Anolis sagrei: one gene and its partner. The protein of the gene in region 2 interacts with the protein of the main gene of each other region in a pairwise test. Links are inferred from orthologs where the notes say so. Each region holds a gene or a part of one and is shown on either strand. Other genes may lie near its edges.

Evidence for each region.
Region 1: the proteins of CBY2 (region 2) and synaptonemal complex central element protein 1-like interact in binary tests that used the Homo sapiens proteins (3 or more experiments, as listed by UniProt). The two-hybrid records come from large-scale screens. The link is inferred for Anolis sagrei from reciprocal best matches to the Homo sapiens genes CBY2 and SYCE1.

Annotation. Positions count from the first base shown.
Region 1 is NC_090022.1:193,714,082-193,725,453, reverse strand, and holds the start of synaptonemal complex central element protein 1-like, read right to left. Parts: upstream 5,766-11,372; 5' UTR 5,704-5,765; coding exon 5,649-5,703; intron 4,788-5,648; coding exon 4,725-4,787; intron 3,306-4,724; coding exon 3,246-3,305; intron 1,819-3,245; coding exon 1,744-1,818; intron 1-1,743. UniProt on the Homo sapiens protein: Major component of the transverse central element of synaptonemal complexes (SCS), formed between homologous chromosomes during meiotic prophase. Requires SYCP1 in order to be incorporated into the central element.
Region 2 is NC_090023.1:141,535,575-141,545,602, forward strand, and holds CBY2 (protein chibby homolog 2), read right to left. Parts: upstream 3,928-10,028; 5' UTR 3,882-3,927; coding exon 2,961-3,881; 3' UTR 2,872-2,960; downstream 1-2,871.

The DNA.
Region 1 (11,372 bases), on a different chromosome or scaffold from region 2:
GAGGCCCCAGGTGGTGCTTTTATGCACAGTTGGAAAGAACAGTTATTGGCAATGTTATTATGTAGGCTCTTTGAAAGTGACCTTTAAAAAAACAACAGATGAAAATGTACTCAATAAAAGGTGTGAAATTGAAAAGACAAAATATTTGTGGGGGGGGGGACCTTTCTGGAACCATTCCTACATACCTTCCAATAATTCGCTGAGGCAAACCAGGACACAATTGGTTAAATAAACGGAGGCAAGATATGAAAAATTATTAACGAAGAAGAATGCATAATGCTAGGAGAAACTGTAGCAGGTTGCTTTTGCCTAAGCCTACAGAGAAGGGCAAGATTTTGCCCTCTCCTCTCCTGCTGCTGAGTTAATTAAGGACAAATGACTTCTTCATTTTCAGCTTACTTTGCAGCAAATGGAGAAAAGTGAGGACAAATGAGGAAAGTAGGAGAAAGAGAGAGAAATCAATTTTTAAAGCATCTGGAAATGTGAGAAAACAGATAATCAGCACTGTTCCTGCCAAATCAGGACAGCTGGAGGGTATGTCTTGAGATAGAAAAGAAAAATAGGTATCACAAGGGAAAGCTGTTCAGCCCAATATGAATATTTTTTTCCTACAACAACAAATGGAAGGAGTGATCTCATCTCAAGACTGTCCTGCACCACTACACTGCAACAATAATCACAGTAGTTTGATTTGGTAAAGTCATAGTGTATCTCTCTTGAGCATAATTAAGATGCACCACATTGGGAGTTATTAGCATAATGATGTAATTTTACTGTGCATGTTTTAACATGGTTCATGAACAGTCAGACATCACAAGCTCTGAGGCTGACTGGGGGCATTAGGCCAAGAAAAGTGACAACATACCTAGAGCCAAACATGGTAGGACTGCAATTATATATGTCAATTCAGAAGTAAGTACCACAGGACTAAAATAGGGACATGTTTCCAGGTGACAGACAGGTGGTACCATGATTACTACTGGATTGAGCCTTGGGAGATCTATGTTCTGATCCCCACTGAGCCATTAAGCCCACTGGGAGATCTTGGGTCAGTCATTCTCAATCAGTGTGACATTACTTCCAGCATTAGTGTTGCAAAAATAACATGAAGAAGATTGTTGTATGTTCAGTGAAGAAAAGGAAAAAAAGTAATTAAAGGTAATTTAAGGATTACATCCTAAAACACATAGTTATGAAATACTGCTGGTGGAAAAGGACAAAACTTGTGAAATATGACAACTGATACCAGCAGCAAGCACTGGCATATATTTCCATAACGATTTCAGACTACAGCATGGTGTCTGAGCAATAAAAACTTAAAATATCTGCAACACTTAAAAGACCAGACCCACGTTTAAAAATTGCCCCGGCACCTAGTCCCCCATAGGAAAAATTAAAGGAAAAGTATTGATTGCTACAAGAAACAGTGCAGTGGAATGATTCTCAAATCAGTGATCGTTTGAAAAGGAATGTTTGTATATACTAGAGCAAAACGTTCAGTTTTAAACTGTATCACAAAGAGCAAGTACTTCCTTGTTACAAATGAATTAAGACAGAGTCTTAAATATATGAGTACAAAAAAACACATGAGTTATTAATCTAATAGCTCCAGTGAACAAGAACGCAAAGAGATTTATAATAAAACAAGATAATAGCATGTAGGGTATGTGAAGAATAGAGGACCCTTATATTTTACAGATCCCACACACTGTCATCACATAATGTTGCATTATCATTACCTACATTTTTCCAGTTCCCTCTGCAATGACTTGCTATGTTCATTTGCCTTGGAAAGCTCCTCACTTAATAACTTCTTGGCTGGAAAAATACATACATTTTAAAAAGGGTTTATTTTTATTTTTATTTATTTGCCATATTTATATCTCCCCTTCTCACCCCAAAGGGGACTCAAAGAAGCGCACATAGAGGCACAATTCAACGCCATACAACATATATCCGGCAAATAAAACATCTACATTAAAAAACCACTAAAACATTTCAACATTTAAAATTATTAAAATTGCATAATCCAATATCATAGTCCAGGCTGTTCCACTTGTCATTGCACCATTCCACATTTACATACTGCACTGATAGGTTAACTGATAATGTTCAGTTTTTTAAATGCTCAGAATTAGCATTATGAATGTTAATGTTCAAAATAGATCTTAAACTTACTATTTAAATGCAAAATCAAACAAATAAGCAAGCCAGACATTGTAGCAATTTACAGATAAAGAGAAATCCAGAGATGACGACTTCAGACTGAATTAAACACTGGTAGAGATGCAGTTTGCACCTAGCAATGCATACTGAAATAAAGATCCAACGAGCCAGTCTCCATTTCTGAAAATACAAAGGCCAGTTACAAATCTCTTTCTTCTCTGGGGTGAAACATATTGGTTCCCAAGGTAGGACATTTGCAGAATAGACAGGTCAGCCTTTATCTAAGTAAAGCTGAACCTTTAGTTTTCAGAAACACTGTTCAAACCAACCAGTTTGAGCATGTTTTAGGGACTCATGTCATGGATACTGAAGACAGGGTGTTGCTTTAAAAAAAAATTGTGGGTGAAATAATGTTATGCAACAAAACGCGCAGCACTGTGCTAATTTGGCTGTTCTTATCCCTTGGATAAGAAAAGGCAAATGTTTAAACAATAGTTAGCAACTGATGCGAATTTGGGAACCAAATTTCTTCTCCACTACAAGATCCTTTGAAGGCCACAGCCATTTCAAAAATGCTCCTTCCCCCACAGAAGTTGCAATCTGAAAAAGTCTGAAGAAGTCCACATCTGAAAAAATTGACTGGGGATATTATGTACAATCATGCAGGAGGGCCATCCAGGGCTATGCTTTATCTATCCTTACTATAAAGTCTATTCAGTATAATTTGAATAAGGGAACAGAGACTAGAAAAATATTAATTACAAATATGATCCTCATTGAGTTATAACATATGTGTGTAGGAGGAGATGGGAGGAAACTATGCATTCAGGAATGGAACAGGAGTAAGAAGAGATACCTCAAAATGTTGGTTTTGCTTCTTTCTTTAAAATGGGGGAATGGCATAAGGATTGCAGATTACTCTCTTTTTGGAAACCACATCTGGGAACATTCAGCTTTTGCACTGCAAGAGCCATCGCGATGTGCAGACCTGGTAACCACTGCTACAAATATAGCTTACTTAGCAAAGGCTTAATTTTGAGATGTAAATAATATAGTTAATCCCTGCCTTTTTCTTTTACCTTGCTGCAATGTATTGATCCTTTTAACTAGGTCTTCAATTCTTGGCTCCAAACTCTCGACTATAAAATCAAGTAGAAATCAAATGAAAACTGAATTATACATGCTATGGTTAAGGAAAAAGCAATACATTAAAATACATTAAAAGTTACAGTTTGTACCAATCTCAATGTCAAAGTCACTTTGCCAACTGAGGTGAAAGGAACAATGACACACATCTTCCTTCCAGGTACAACGGCCAATCAAACAGATAGTAACATCTTTGTATAGTCTAAGGCTTTCATGGCCGGAATCACTGGGTTGTTGTAGGTTTATTTGGGCTACATGGCCATATTCTAGAGGCATTCTCTCCTGACGTTTTGCCTGCATCTATGGCAAGCATCCTCAGAGGTAGTGAGGATGCTTGCCATAGATGCAGGCGAAACGTAAGGAGGGAATGCCTCTAGAACATGGCTATAGCCCAAAAAAACCTACAATAACCCAGTAAAATCTTTGGCACTTGCAATGTAATGACATCCTTCACCACACATGAAGGTACCAGGCTAGCATGAGCAGTGCTAGCCACAGAGTGCCTGGACTCTAAAGCTCTGTCCTCCCAACATTGTGATGAAACTCTTTACCTTATAGCACCTACTTCCTAAGACAACTATAATGGCTAATAGAAAAATACTCTGATCTTGCCCTCACATATAATTGTATGTTATTTATCAAGGGCCAGTATCTAACTCAGAATCCTTATCACAAGCAATATAAATAAAACTCTAATAATTTTTATACCATACTTCTTGTTTCTCCCTAGATCAACTACTAATTTTTCTTCCAAGAACTTTCATCTGACCTCAGCCTCCATTCCATTATATTTTTGCCACAGCCCCTAAACAACGTACCACTTTCCCTTCTACTGATTTCTGCTCAAATCTGTGCTTTCTTGCTCTCTGTTCAGAAGCCAAACATTAATTTTCTAAGAGCCACATGGGACCCATTAGCCACTGCTGACTTCTAAACAATTTTCAAGTCATTATATATGTATTCACCATGCACAAAGTGGTGTATGTTGTCCGTGAAGCACAAGATAAATGATGCAACATGATGTTTGTATGAGTCTCTTGGGCTAAATGAGTTGCCTCTTACCAGTGTACAGGCATACATGGCAAGGGCAGATGCTCTAGTAGGACTATATGATTAGGCAGATGGCAGAGTGAGATGGCTGTTTTGGGGGACAGATGCTGAAGCAGAGAAGCCATCACAATGCATTAGGAGAGAGTCCTGTACCATATGGCATCCTCTGTGTGCCACATAAGCTAGCCTGCTGCCTGTTTCCCCCAGATGTGGTGGCCGGTTATTTTATTTCAGCCAGTGTTAAAAGTGTACATGGGCTGTGCAGATAGTAAGGGATTGGCATGAAGGACAACACTTCTTCCCATTCCTTTACGATCCGACACCTGAACATTACTCTCGTCATCTTTCTAAGTTCAAAATACCATTCTGCATTTGTTTCACAAGTGACAGTATCTCCTCCATTTTTGATGAAAAGTCCCAGGGATCTGGAGAGAGAGAAAAAGCAGAAACAGAATTTATTGTTGTCACCCAATTTTTTCTTCAACCAGACACATTGAAATCTAGGGATCGTATAGGCTTTGTATAACTTTGCTTATACAGGAGCAAGTAGCTTCTGGTGTGAGAGAATTGGCCATCTGCAAGGACGTTGCCCAGGGGACGCCTGGATGATTTGATGTTTTTATCATCCTTGTGGGAGGCTTCTCTCATGTCCCCGCATGAGGAGCTGGAGCTGATAGAGGGAGCTCATCCGCCTCTCCCTGGATTCGAACCTGCGACCTGTCGGTCTTCAGTCCTGCCGGCACAGGAGTTTAACCCACTGCGCCACCGGGGGCTCGCCCTTCTCAGTGCAATCCATCTGTAATATTGGAAATTGTGGTCTACTTCATATTGCTATGAGGCTGAGAACCACACTGTAAAGAATGAACATAACAATAATACTTTTATTAAATTCCAAGGACCCGAGCAACTGAGGGCACCTTCAGGGCCTCTGTTTTCTACAGTTGTTTCTGTACCCCGGAGCGACTTGGCAGTGCCCAAAATATGAAACTCTCTTTCTACATGTGTTCACCTGCTTCTTAATTATAATTTTCGTGAAAATGAATAATGTCCTTCTAGTTCAGGCATGGACAAACTTTGGCCCTCCAGGTGTTTTGGACTTCAACTCCCACAATTCCTACTGGCTGTGAAGTCTTAGCTCTTATATTGGAGTTGCTAGCTTTTAAATTCCTGGTCAGGTGACGGGGCCCAAGGAGGAGAATATGGCCACCAGTTCTGAATACCTTCTCTAGTTCCCATGATGTGTATTTAGGTTTCTATTGTGTATTTCTCCAGTTGTACAGTCTCACCGGGATCATTTCCCTCCATAGTGATGCTACGATTTTCTCCTTCAGCTCCAGCCATTTTCCATCCCCAACCCTCTTTGCTGTTTTCCCGCCTTTTTCCAACTGTCGCTTCTCAGCATTCTTCAGAGAGCAGCCGAGGCAGGGCTCCTCCAAGGAGGGAGGGAGGGAGGGAGGGAGGGAGGAAAAAGGAAGGAAGGAAGGAAGGAAGGAAGGAAGGAAAAAAAGAAAGATCGAAGGAAAGAAAGAAAGACTGATGGAAGGAAGGAAGGAAAAAGGAAGAGGGGGGAGGAAAAAGGGAAGGATAGAAGGAAAGACTGATGGAGGGAAGGAAGGAAAAAGGAAGAGGGGGGAGGAAAAAGGGAAGGAAGGAAAGATGGATGGAAGGAAGGAAGAAAGGCAGGGAGGGAGGGAGGGAGGATGGAAAAAGGGAAGGATGGAAGGAAAGAAAGAAGGAAGGACGGAAGGAAGGACGGACGGAAGGAAGGAAGGAAGGAAGGAAGGAAGGAAGGAAGGAAGGAAGGAAAAAGAAAGGTGGGGGGAAAGGAAGGAAGGGGAAAAACGAAGGAAGGAAGGGAGGGAGGGAGGGAGGAAAGAAATAAGGGAGGGAGGGAGGGAGGAAAGAAGGAAGAGGGGAAAGGAAGGAAGGAAAAAGAAGGGCGAGAGGGAAGAAAAAAGGAAGGAAAAAAGGAAGGGCGGGAGGAAAGAAAAAAGGAAGGAAGGAAAAAAGGAAGGAAAGAAATTAAGAAAGAAGGAAAGAAAGAAAGAAAAAGGAAGGAAGGAAGGGAAAAAGGAAGGAAAGAAGGAAGGAAGGAAGGAAGGAAGGGGAGCCGTGGGCTTTTGGCAGCACTTATTCACTGGAGGACATGTCGCTCGGCCCCTGTTTATCCCCTCAGTGATACATAGCCATTGTCTCAACATGGAGACAAGTAATCCCTGAGTTACATACATCTGACTTACATACAACTTGCATACTCCTAGTTAAGAATGGAGGTGAGACAACAGGAAGTGAGAGAAATCTTCCCAACGTTCCCTCAGGAAGAGTTATCACGGGGAAAAGGTTCCTTCACTGAAGCTTTATCCCCAAGCCTTGTTTCCACAACAAGCCAAATTCAATTATGAGAGGGACAGAAAAGGCGGTGAAATCTTCTGATCAGGGGCACAGACAGCAAAACGAACACCACAGGGATGTTCACCCTTTCCTATGCTATCCAAAGCTAGTATATACAAGTAGCCCTCAAGTTAGGTTCTGTAGGTTTGTTCTTAAGTTGAATTTGTATGTAAACTTGGCACGTTTTTAAAGTGTAAATCCAGGATCTATTTATCTCTCTATCTTTGGATAGCATAGGGAAGCGTTAACACCCTTATGACATTTGTTTTGTTGTCTGTTCCCGTTCAGAAGATTTCACCTCACTTTCTGTCCCTGTGATAGTTGGATCTTGAAAAATGTGGCTCGTGGATACAAGGATTGGTGATAAAGTTTCATTAGAGACCCTTTCCCCCATGATAATAAGAATTCCTGCAGAATTCTGGGATTTGTAGTTTAGGGAGGAGCCTTTAACAGACTCACTGTTAAAGTAGGTTTTAGTGAGATCACTACCAGGTATGTGTGTGTGTTAATAGAAAAAAAAACTTACCTTGGTGAATTACAATATACAGCTTGGGTGAATGGGATTTTTAAGGTCAGCCAATTTAGGCCACTCCCGAAGGGGTATAACTGGGAAGTGTTTGTAATTCAACTTTGGGCTTACTGAATGTTTGCTCCTGATCTTACCCTGCGTTCGCTCCTGGCTTATTTGATGCAGGCAAGTTTATCTTTTCTGCTTGTCTCCATGTCCAAGAAAGGAAAATTGGAAGATACATATTTTCTGTGGGAAAAATTGCATGAGTTAAGTGTAAGGACTATACTTGAGTGTGTTACTCCAGAGGGACTGTGACTGTATTGATGCAATACTGCAAGTTTGTGTTAATGTTACTGGTTTTTGAATTCTGCTGCAGAAGAGTAAAATTTATGTTTTCCTTCTGCTTGTGTTGCTCATATGAAAATACAAAAGGACTAAGTTTCGGTTGTTCTGCATACATTGTCAACCTGTGACAATGATTCAATCAATATGAAAAACTCAGTCTTCAATTACAGTTTTATGCCACGTGTTTAAATTATCCTTGCACATTGCTAGCCCCATCTCAAAGTTTATCTTGTGATTTTCAGGACACTTCTCTAGTATTAAATGCTGTTTTGGGGGAAATGTAAAAAACCAATAAAAATCTAGATCTATAAATTGCTAAGGGTTTATTATACATTTGGGAGCTACAGCATATACATACATTGCTCAAATATGGTAGCAGGATAACCTGGAGCAGGCAGATATTTTATTTTATTGCTAATACAAGTAAAAAATGGGAGCTATTATTATTATTATTATTATTATTATTATTATTGGAAAAAACAGAGGAGGAGGAGAATCACTAGAACTCTAGTTGATGTCTTGGCTCAATGAATGTTTGCCATCTTTTGTTGAAAACCACCCTTAGTCCTCCCGGGAAGATAGGGTGGATAATAAATAAAGGGTTTTTAAAAATATTATTATTATTATTATTATTATTATTATTATTATTATTATTATCTTCCTATTAAACAGAAATGAGCAGTTGTGGGTCTACAAGTGTATTGATATTGCATCTCCCACAATCCTTCACCACTGGCCATGCCAGCTAAGAGTGATGTGAGTTGCAAGTCAGTAATACCTAAGGAGCCTTACTTACTTAGGCGATCTCTCATTGTCAGAGTAGGATAATCCTCCAGGGTGGATCCGTAGGTGACTATGGAGTCTTATTCTTGATTTGCATCGTCTCCCACAGTGAGGGCACTGGTTTCCAGGTGGAAGGCGGTCCCAGTTGGAATTGGCTTGACGCGCCTCCCTTTTGGCACATTTCTCTCTTTCGCCCTCCATTCGTGCCTCTTCAAATTCTGCAGTACTGCTGGTCACAGCTGACCTCCAGCTGGAGCGCTCACATGCGGTATTATTGACAAGTCTTGCCTGTGTTGACTCTTAGCTTGGGGCAAGTAATAACTTCTTCAACAGATTTTAATAAACAGTGGTTTTCAAGGAATGCAACTTGAATTGGACAAGTCTCAAATTAAAAACCAAAGTTCATTCAAATATGTTGAAGAAGTTATTACTTGACCCAACCTAAGAGTCAACACAAGCAAGACTTGTCAATAATATCTCATGTGGTTATCTGAAAGACGTTCTTTACTGAACGTCACTCAGATAGCCAGGCAGTGCAGCTTTAGAGCAGCTGATTGATTAGGCAGCAGATAAGTAACACTGGACTGTATAAACAGGTGGATTAATAACACCCCCCTCCAGAAGGTATGCTAGTAATTGTTTTTGTAGGACATCAACATTTATTCACTTAAGTGAGTGCTGACAATTAAATAAATAGCAGATGATTGATTCAGTATGAGTACTTACAGTGGTTTCTGTGATGCAGTGGTTTCTGTGTTCGACTCAGGAAGAACACAGTCTGAATCCCCACTCAGCATGGAAACCAGCTGTACGCATACCATACTCTCTCAGAGGAAGGCAATGGCAAACCTCCTCCGAACAAATCTTACCAAGAAAAACCCATGATAAGTTTACCCTTTGAGTCACCATAAGTAAGAAGCAATACGAAGACACACAACAATGGCAAACAAGTAATATAACACAAGTGGAGACTGCAAAAATGCCCTCCTGTTCAACAAGATTGAATGTCAATTTTATGGTGACATGTTTTTAGAAAGACCTTTCTTTGGGACTATTTTCCCCTCTTATTAGCAGACTAAAGCAATCGGACAACATCTCTCTTTTTACTGCAAGCCAACCACTGAGGATTCCTGGAAATGAATGAGTGAAACACAATTGGTTCTGATTGGCTATGCAGGAGATCTTTGCTAAATGTTCTGGCAAATGGAAAAAGAAAAGAGACACATTCCAAGATAAAACTGATTTTAAAACGGGTTGTGTTTGTATTTAATAAGATGCTTCCAGTTCTCAGCATATCAGTTCAGGCAGATATATCAACCCTCATTGTCAGCCAGCCACATGATGCATAGAATCATTACTTTTCTTTTTTATCAGGGCACGGGGAAAATGCCAGCCAGAAGCAAGCTGAGCAAGCAAGCACAACACCAGGAGGGATCCAACAGCAACAAAGATACCCTGCAAACTGCATAATTGCTTCAGTCACTGCAGCACAAGCAATGAGGGCAAGTTCAGTACTCAGCTGACATCGTAGCTGGCAACAGTAATCAGCACCTTTATACAAGCTTCTCGGGTTAAATCCAGCAGTCCCCCAAAATACCACACGACACACTACTCCCATCCTATAAGAAACCACAAGGTGGTAGGCATACTCACAGGAGGAAAAGAACAAATGTTCCCTCCTGCTATATTCTGGACAAAAAAATGATGCATTTTTTTTTTTAGCAAAACAGGAAGGGCAGGGATACAGAACAGACCCAGTGGAGCAGCAGCAAGTTTATACAGGGCACATATTTGCACAGCAGGAGAGTGCTTGCTCAGGAAGGGGAATGATAAAACTGTCAATTGCTTGCAAATTAGACCTTCAAGTCTCCTTCTGAGAAGAGCAGCTGTTCCAGGAGTTGGTGCATCCAGAAAAAAATCTGGAGTTGACAGGAGGAATAGGAAGATAATTATTTGTCAGTACCAAGCCCTACAGGAAATTCACCATGGGTCTGTTTGTCTTTCCCCATCTCCAGTTCTAAACAAAATAAAGCAACCAAAAAGCAATCAGAAACAAGAATACAGAAACAGGTAGAGAAGAAAAAGAAGAGTGCACCTTAACACAGGTAAAGTGACAGAAGTACTCACAGGGGTAGTGTGTCAATACACACAGCGAAAGACAAATATTTAAAAACAGGAACAAGAGGAAGGCAAGACAGGTAGGAAAGTTATAGAGGATAGAGAAACAGCTTTCAAAACCAGTTAAGTTCCAACTTAAGACATTTAAAAGGACATTAAAATGTCATCATTATTACACAGTACAAACAGAGCCATCTAATATAGAAATCATTCAAAATTCCAGAAGGATTGCAAAATACCCCAAGGATTGCAAAACACCCTTCATACACACATATAGTTTCTCATGGTGTCAGAGAAAGGGCTGAAGCAGCTTTGCCACTTCAAAAGGGAGCTAAAGTCTATGACTGGAAGGAGATCAAAAATCTTAGGTTCTTTTAAAAAAATACTGTTAGTGCCAAGAAGAAGGATTCTTTGGACCTGGACCTCCTCAATTCTAGTCTTCTGAAGATGGCATTAAAGTGACCCAAGTCAGCTACCTTTACAGTAAACATTCATCTCTCTAGGTCAGGGGTGCACACCTGCATGGACTCTGGGAGTCATTTTTCCACCTCCTCTCCCCAAGCAGGCCATGGACATCCTAGCATACCAAAACACCTCAATCTTCCAAGTGGGAGTGATGCTGGACCACAGTTTCCCAATATATTTCAGGCAGTACAGGTTCTAGGAAGGGCTTTTTGTATGTTTTTGTAGGACTTTTAATACAATGTTGAGGTGACATCACACTGAATTTTTAAGGGCCTGGTGGGGCTTCGGGAGTGATATGCAGCCCTTATGTTTTCCCCATCCCAGCTCCAGGTTATACACTGTATTAAAGTACCTGCTTCTGATAAACCTGTAGCACCTGCTAGACTTGCATTAGGCT
Region 2 (10,028 bases):
ATATAAAAAACAATTTTATATCCATCTATGGCAAGCATTCTCAGAGGTTGTGAGGTCTGTTGGAACTAGGAAATTTGTGTTTATATATCTTGGGTATATATGTCTATATATCCACAGATATATAAACCCAAATTTCCTAGTTCCAACAGACCTCACAACCTCTGAGGATGCCTTGCCATAGGTGCAGGCAAAACGTCAGGAGAGAATACTTCTAGAACGTGGCCATATAGCCTGAAAAGCCTACAACGACCTGATGCTGGAGGTGTTCGCTTCTTCCGAAACACTGACATTTGTCCGCCTGTCTTCCCAAGAGATTTGCAGGATTTTTTGGTGATGGAATCTTTCCAGAAGTTGAGATTGACATTTGTAGATGGTCCTTGTTTCGCAGGCATACAACAGCATTGGAAGGATAACAGCTTTATAAACAAGCATCTTGGTATCTTTATTAATGCCCCAATCCTCAAACACTCTCTGCTTCATTCAAAAACATGCTGCACTCACAGAGCTCAGAAGGTGTTGTATTTGGCCGTTGATACCAACTTTTGTGGAGGGCTGGCTGCCCTTTGTGGAGAGTTGGCTGCCTTTGAGGAATGAACAATAAATGCCCATACCTTGACCAATTCAGCACAAAATGCCTTTCAACAGACTTTATCTCACCCTTCAGTGAAATTAAACCCCATTGTTGTTCCATCTGAACCTCCCACCAGATACACTTCCCTATCTATCTAATCCAGGGTTTTAAATTTTTATCCTTTACAATTGGCCCTGCCCACTCTGTTCAATTTTTGTTATTTTATGTCATAGGTAAAGGTAGAGGTAGTCCCCTGACATTAAGTCCAGTCATGTCTGACTCTGGGGTGTGGTGCTCATCTCCATTTCAAAGCCGAAGAGCCAGCGTTGTCCGTAGACACCTCCAAGGTCATGTGGCCGGCATGACTGCATGGAGCGCCGTTACCTTCCCGCCGGAGCGGTACCTATTAATCTACTCACATTTGCATGTTTTCGAACTGCTAGGTTGGCAGAAGCTAGGGCTGACAGCGGAAGCTCACGCCGCTCCCCGGAATCGAACCTGCGACCTTTCAATCAACAAGCTCAGCAGCTCAGTGCTTTAACCCACTGCGCCACCGGGGGCTCCATTTTATGTCATATCCTGTGTTTATCTTATATTATTGTTTTTTCTTTTGCTATATTTTATTATATTTTATTTGATGTATTATTGTATATTGCTTTATTTTTGCTTTGTTGTAATTGTTGGGTTGGCCTCATGTTAGCCGCCCCGAGTTGTTCTTATTATTGGTAGTCAATATGGGCAACATTTTCTAGCATTACACTGTTACACTTTATTTCTTGCATTGCAAAGGGATTGGTTGGTGCTTGCTAGTAAAGCACTTTAGTTTTCTCAGTGTGAAGTTAAGGGCCAGACCTTTCATATAAATGCCTAGGGCTTACTATATTGATGCAAAATTCTTCAGTCACAAAAGTGATTTGAGCAGCTTAGATGAATAATGTCAAGTTAGTCTCTATTCTCATGCTTCCATTCTGAAAGAAAAAACACAGGCAGGTTACATTTCAACATCTGTTTCTACAGTGTTCTAAAGTATATTTTTTGCTGCTGTGTGCCGTTAAGTCACTTCCAACTTTATGGAAAAGCTATCATGGCGGTTTCTTGCCAAGATTTGTTTAGAGTGGGGTTGCCTTTTCTTTCTCCTGAGACAGAAAAAGCATTATTGCTCAAAATCATCCATATGCAATATTTTATTCCAGTGTTTACTTTTATATTCCTATAGTACCATAGCATATCATCATATTTCATGCTGCAGTGCTTCTCAATTCTCCCTCCCAATATTCCCTCTGGTTTTGCTATTTTTTTATCAGTAATTAATATTCTTCTTCAATTGTTCCCTTTTAGTTGAAGATGTTGACTGCACACTTTTCCAGATCCAAATACCTACCCTTTTCCTAATCTGTCAGTGACAAATTTACACTTTTTCATGCATACTTTCCCATCTCTGCAGGGGCAAAAATAACTTTCTATTCACTCTAAATTAGAAAACATCATCGTGCCTTGTTTATTATATTTCTAAACAAGCATCAAATGGAGTAAACAAGCATCAAATGGAGTAAAAACTCATATGTGTACATGCTCTGTTTAATATTATAAAGTTTAAAAGAAAGAGTTTCAGAGAGTTCTCATTGCTTTCCACTTGTGCTTCCCTTGAGCCACCTGTGTATCCATGGCCAGCTGATCGGGTATTTCAGGCTTTTAAAAAGCACATGTGCGCTGTAGGAGTCCACACAGGGGGGAGGGAAGGGAAGCAAATGTTTTGTATGACTACATGTATATATAGTTATGAGACAGTGCACATTTTGGAGACGGAATCAGATTTTAAGCGAATCTTTTTAACATGTGCTTTCCAACTGTTAACCCATTTTAGCCTGCACTTTGGCTAAACAATCCCTTTTAACCCAGTTACTTTTCTGGGTTTTATGTGTAGAAGAACCCTAATTTGTTTTCAACTTATGGTGACCCTAATGTTAACCTGTCACAGGGTTGTCCAAAGGTTTCCATGCTGAGACTCTGTCTCTAAAGTCATAGTCCAAAGCCCATACCACTGCATCACATCAATCTTTCCTTCTGAGATGTTCTTGTGGCTATTCCTTGCTGCTGGTGATCCTGTCAAAGCCCTGGCTGCCCTCCAGAATAAAGAAATGATCAGGGTGATGGACTTGGTTGCCCCTGAGGGTCCATGGAGTGGGGCTGATCTGGGGCCCTGGTTTATCAGTGAGCCAATGGCATTGGAAGGAAGGTCTAATAATTCAAAACGTCATTACTGCTTTTTGAATCAACAACAGAACTTTATTAGCTCTTACATCACAGGAGGGAGATAATTTCCTGAAAGTAGATGGACTTCTATTCAACCTATCCGATCTCCCTGTAGCTGTTCAACTAACAGGCTTCTTCATTCAGTATTCTCTGACTGACTCTCAATTAAATCAAAGGCGTTAAGCGTCTCTTGCAGCAAGCCCATCTGAGCGATAATATTACTGATAGCATCTTTGGTGGTCTTTTGTTGGAGCTTAAGTTTATTGTTCTCCTCCCAAAGTATTTTGTTCCCTCCTTCATTATTCTGGAGTGCCTGCTTATCTTCCAGAAGTGTGTGGTTCTCTTTTATGAGAAACAATACCATTTGGTTCAGTTTCTGAACAGTTTCAAGTACTTCGTTTTCTTCTAACAGTGATAAGGCAGTTTGTTGCCTTTCTTTTTCTGAGGTGGCACTGCTGTCTTCTTGTGTTTCTGGTTCAGCTGTAGCAGGCTCAGCTGATGCAGAGGTATTGTTTGTTTCCTGCTCAAGGGGTTCCTTTCCCAATAAGAGGTCAGATTGCTTTTCCTTCTGAAGGACTGGGGTGAGTTTCTTCTCCTCCTCAGGAAAAACCTTCAAAGCCAAAATCTTATCCCGAAAGATTTGAAGAGCTTTTTTCTCTTCTTGGATAAATTGAAGGGCTTTGTTTTCCTTACCCCCCTGGAGTCCTCCTTTGCGTGAAAGAGCTACTAAAGGCTTATTTTCCTGTTGGAGCATTTGTTGAAGACTCTCATCATAGATAACCTGAATACCTTTGTTCTGTGTCCTTAGACACTGGAGTACTTTATTCTCTTCCCGAAGTGCCCTGTTTTCCACTCGGAGGGCCTTGTTTTCTTCCCAGAGGGCTTTGTTTTCTTCCCAGAGGGTCAAGTCACTGTGCATCTTCTTGCTATAGTGTTTCTTGTGGGCTTCTGCTGAAGAGGAAATTGCTGGTTGAACAAACGATTCATTCACCCACTTGCCATCTAGAAAGACAAAGGTGTCATCACTGAGTTTGACCTTCGGCGGGATGCAGTCCATCTTTACCTTCCACTAGGTGCATATATTGGTTCAAAAGAAAGTCCGAAGACCTGGATTATTGCATGAAAGTGAAGAAATACACATTAAATTATATTATTTGATAGTTTATCAGCAATATGCATTAGTTATAATCAAGCACTCTGAAATCGGTACAATTAAAATAATGAACCATGAAAAACATTAAGTCTGTTATAAAGGCTACAAAATGAAATTAAATGAAATCACATGAGATTAAGACATTCTCGAGTCAATGTTTGTAGTTCTTTTTTCTTCTTTTGGAAAATGAAACATTTTAAAGCCAATAATTTGTTTAAAGCCAAGCCAGCTTCCCTAAGAATTGCCTTCACTAAACTGCTTTGTTAAATAATGCCTGCCGCAGTTCTAGATAAATGCTATAATAAAGTGCTATTTGAAAACAGATTATTTCAAACAGGTTAACTATTTGAAATCAGTTAACAAGGTAGATGTGTTTCTGAGCTTTACTTCTTTAACGGAAAATGTGCACCAGAGGAAGAAATAAGAAGGAAATAATAGGTATAGGTTCTTACACCACAACTAAGGAACAGTTCAATATGGTTTTTCCCTGAAAAACAGTATGCACATGGGAACAAAACAATTAAGTTGGCTAAATGTTGTATAAGTAGTCTCTACTCACATTGACAGAGCTCAAAACTCCTGCAGAAGTAGAAAAACTGCAAAACGCATTCTATGGATCGCCTGTCATTCCCTTTCTCATCTTTCACCACAAAGCCTCAGACAGATCTTAAACCCCTTTCCCAACTATTGACTTCCTCGCCCTCTGTTACCAGATTTTAAATCCCTTTTCAGCTACATTACTTTGGCCCATTCCACACAGCTGAATAAAATCCCACATTATCTGCTTTGAGCTGGAATATATGGCAATGTGGACTCAGAAAACCCAGTTCAAAGCAGATATTGTGGGATTTTCCGTCTTGATATTCTGGGTGATATGGCTGTGTGGAAGGGACCTTTGTCTCTCCTTCCATGTCCTTCCAAAAGCACCAGTCCCTCTCCATTCACCACCTTTGCACCAAAACTTGCCTTCATTCAGTCATTATACACAATAAGTTCTTTTGTAAAATGGATTCATGATATTTGTTATAAATATTCTATTTAGGTAGGAGGGATAATAATTATGAAGCTTCATCAAATATTCCATATTTTCCCACGGAATTGTCTCATCTAGCCAATTGAAAAAAAAGTTTTATTTATTTATTTATGACATTTATATGTCGCCCTTCTCACCCCGAAGGGGACTCAGAGCGGCTTACAAGGTATATGTTACATATAATATATTAGATTATTAGCATAGTACAATATCAGTATTAAACATTGCTATATTGCACCATACCACTATATCGTAATATTATTAGTAATATTACATGTAATATAAATATATAATAATAATAATAATAATGTATTATTATTATTATTATTATATTGCATTACATTATAATATTATAAATATTATATGTATATACAATTTATTATATTTATAATTTTATTATTTTAGAATGAAAAGAACCATAATGTAGTACAATGTTTGATATTCTCAACCTCCCTTTTTGGTAAACGTAACTGTTTTTAGAAACTGTTGCTTCCAAAAAAAAAATGGCCAATTTTATACATTTGTTGTAGATGGCGTAGTGCAGGGATAAGCAGCTGTGGAAAGCTAGAGTCTACATATCGTCTCCAAGAGCCTAAACCTCCCACTTACTCTTGAAAAATATGTGGGGTTCCTTGGACCCCTCAAGAGCATTGTGGGTAATTTTACGTGGGGAAAGAATGGAGATATTTGGCAAACATTTGTTTTGATTGCGGGGATTCCAAGAGGGAGCTCCAAACATGGTAAAAATACTTTCCACAAACCCAAATCTTCCTGTGGGGTCATTTTGAGGGACAATTGATCCTGGGAAGTCTTTTTTCCAACCCCTACTTTAGTGGAGTAACATGATATAAAAATAACAGTTCGGAAAGATTGTGAATTTTAGTTGTTGCTAGAGAAAAAGCATTGAAATATTTAACTTCACATTCATTCCACTTATTTTTAACCAATTTGTGAAAGACATGTAGTTTATTCTAACGAACAGATTAAAATATTTTTGATAATAGCTGTGTATTTAAAGTGAGAAAACAAATATTGAACTTCAATTAATGTTTATATTTTTATCATGGTATTCCCTGTAGTAACCTACGGATGTGAGAGCTGGACCTTAGGGAAGGCTGAGCGAAGGAAGAGAGATGTTTTTGAGCTGTGGTGTTGGAGGAAAGTTCTGAGAGTGCCTTGGACCGCGAGAAGATCCAACCAGTCCATCCCCTAGGAAATAAAGCCAGATTGCTCATTGGAGGGAAGGATACTAGAGACAAAGTTGAAGTACTTTGGCCACATCATGAGGAGACAGCAAAGCCTAGAGAAGACAATTATGCTGGGGAAAGTGGAAGGTAAAAGGAAGAGGGGCCAACCAAGGGCAAGATGGATGGATGGCATCCTTGAAGTGACTGGACTGACCTTGAAGGAGCTGGGGGTGGTGACGGCCGACAGGGAGCTCTGGCGTGGGCTGGTCCATGAGGTCACAAAGAGTCGGAGACAACTGAACGAATGAACAATCATGTCAGGTGCGACATGAGAAACTGCAAATTGCTTCTGGTGTGAGAGAATTGGCTGTCTGCAAGGACATTGTCCAGGGAGCACCCGGATGTTTTACCATCCTGTGGGAGATTTCTCTCATGTCCAAGATAAGAAGCTGGAGCTGACAGACAGGAGCTCACTCAGCTCCCTGGATTCGAACTGCTGACCTTTTTCGGTCTGCAGTCCTGCCAGTGCAAGGGTTTAACCCATTGCACCACCAGGGGCTCCATTTAATGCCCGTTCTTTCTAGGATGTCATACGCTGTTCCAACAAATGGGCTATTTTTCTCCCTCACCAACAGTGCTTTATAGAGAGCAATGAGCATGCTGAATCTCATCAAGCTGTTCGCAGAAGCTTGTCTTTTCTTTTAAACTTATGTACAAACATTATTTGGCATGTGGTGTGCCTGGTTCACTGTCTAGATGACAGGCATGGAACAATTATTCTGGTATTAGAGGGAACAAACAAAGAATCCGAACAAGTTTTCTAACCAGTTTCAAAAAGGAGACTTGATCAGAGTTTGTAGAGTTGAGAACGAGTATCTGGAGTGATGGGATCAGTAGTAAGTAAAAACATTTTAACTTTAATAAACTTCCCATTCTGATTGCTCCTCTTACAAGTTCTAAAATACTAAATTACTTAGTTGTTGTAGGTTTTTGGGGTTGTAGGGCCATGTTCTAGAAGAATTCTCTCATCCTTAGAGGTTGTGAGGTTTGTTGGAAACTGGAAAATTGGGTTTATATACTGGTAGCCAGTACTAAAAAACTCTAAAATTATAACAGTAAATAAAAAACAAAACTCAAACGCAGGGAAACTCCAGCCAGGAAACAATCAGGAACACCTGGTCACTTCTCAACAAGGAAATTTCCCAGGCAGAAACAAGCCACACCTAAAAGCTGCCAGGCCATCAAATGCTAATCAAGGTGGCTAATCGAAACATTCACGCCTAGCTCCAACAGACAAAAGTTCTTTCTCCCCCTGGACCTTCCACAGATATATAAACCCTATGTTCCTAGTTAGCAACAAACCTCACAACCTCTGAGGATGCCTGCCACAGGTGCAGGCAAAACATCAGGAGAGAATGCTTCTAGAACATGGCCATACAACCTGAAAAACCTACAGCAACCCAGTGATCCCAGCCATGAAAGCCTTCAACAATACACTAAATTACTTAGATTTGTGTTGGCTGCTAGTTTAGTATTCATCTTTTCTTCTCCTCCAAACCTTCACAGGTTTTGTTGACAAAAGAGAGTTGGCAGAAATATTTTGCTAGCAATCTGGAAATCCTACTCAGGTCTTTAAATCATATACAATTTGGGGGGGCAAACTATGTTTGGGAGAATAGTATGACAAGTAGAAATTGAGTGTTCCTTATCTGGAATTTCAAAATCTAAACTACTCAAAATCTTGAAATTGTCTGCATGGGTGGCTAAGATAGTGACACCTTTGCTTTATGGTGGTTCAATGTAGAATTGGCAAAACAGCTTTAAGGCTGTTCTTATGAGAGAGTGGGGTAAAGAGGTGTCTGGAATACTTTGGTTTAAGAGCCAATGGGGAGAAAACCCATGCAAAAGGAACTAGCGTTGTGTATTGATACATGGGATGAAAGCCCATTGAATATTTAAATTGCTTTACCTATACATGTATTGTGCAGTCACTTATTTTTCATATCTAACAATGTCATTTGTATGATTAGCAACTCTTGTTATTTTAAATAAAGTTTATTATGCTTTGAGCACCTTGTTTCCAGAATTGAGTCTGCCTGTATGTTACAAACAAGCAAGGACTACTCGTGACATGCCACAACCAGTAGGGAATAATTGGTCAGATGGATAGAAGTGACCACCAGTATAATCAGAAGTGCACTTTGGACTTCAAAAATCCTGTTTCAATATGAGTAAGATTTCAATATGAGTGAAGTTAAAACACGAAAAAGTTCATGTAGTTTTTTTTCAAGTGAGACATTAAAATTTCAATTGTAAACAATTCATTTAAAAAATAAAGGAGACACTAAAGAAATGAAATGTGTTTAAGAAACACACAGGAAGAGTAAAGAGAACTGGCCAATGTTTGTAGTGAGATAATCAAGAAAGCTAATATTTGAATTATAGAAGTTGTTTTAATTGTGTTTTAACATTCGTATTAGCTTGGGGGTTTTAAGGTTGTTCTGTACTTTTACATGTTTGTAAGCTGTCCTGAATGTCATGGTGGGATAAAGACTGGATGGAGAAATGAATGGATGTACAAACAAATATAGCATTCAGATTTTCGGGCTCACAACCTCTGAGGATGCTTGTCATAGATGCAGGCGAAATGTCAGGAGAGAATGCTTCTAGAACATGGCCATATAGCCTGAAAATCCTACAACAACCCAGTAATTCCAGCCATGAAAGCCTTCAGCAATACATAGCATTCAGAGTTAGCTCAGGCATGCAAGAAGTGTCAAAATACTAAAAGGGATTTTCCAGCTGTGTTTAGAACAAGAAGAAAAAGCTGGTTTAAGTACACAGCATGAAGACGATGGCATAATACTAAGAGGTGTTTAACTCAATAACTTTACCTCTGTCTTCTTCCAAAAATGGCATTTAGCCTGGACTTTCTCCACATTGCATCGTTATAGCAGTTTGATGCCACTTTGACTTCTGTGGTTCCATCCTACATTATACAGATGCACAAATACTAGATGGATTGCACCTAGCTTGACGGTACAATGGGCCCGTAGTATCCACTGGAGTTTGGTTCCAGAACCCCCAATGGATATCAAAATTCATGGGTGCTCAAGTCTCATGTTATACAATGGTGTAATAAAGTTGCGTCCCTTGTACAAAATGGCAAAATCAAGGTTTGCTTTTTGTAATGTTCTTTTGTGGGAATATATGGATGGTTGAATCAATGAATTCCGAATCCACAGATATGAAGGACCAACTGTATGTATACAAGCATGTAGAGATGATGATGATTTCTTCATTCATATACCACCTTTCCTCTTATCCTGGGCAAATAAAGTATATGGATATATAGAGATATAGATATATATACACACACATACATACACATGTATAAGCTAGGGTCACATAAGATTTTGCAGATGAAAAGGAGTTGCAAGATGGAAAAGTTTATGAAGCCCTGAGCTAGCACAACAGCAAGAGGATCCTACTGAGAAAGATTAGGGAGCTAGGCCCAAAGTACTTACTTTCTTTTTAAAAATCAGTTTGAATAGTTGTCTGTTTTTGTTTTTGCTTTCCAATACTATGTTGACATCTGAAGTATGGACCATGAAGGAAGAGCAGCCAGCACCTGTCATTCATTCAAACTGATTTCTACTACTGCTTGTTACTGCAGAAACATGTAAGCAAAGGATGCTGTGTCAGATCCATTGTGACATAGACATAGCAACTTATGCACAACCAGAACACAATAAGGACCCCCCTGAAGGAGAGAGGTAAATTATCTCATAAAATTCATTTCAATTAAAGGTGGATTCAGAATCAAGAGTT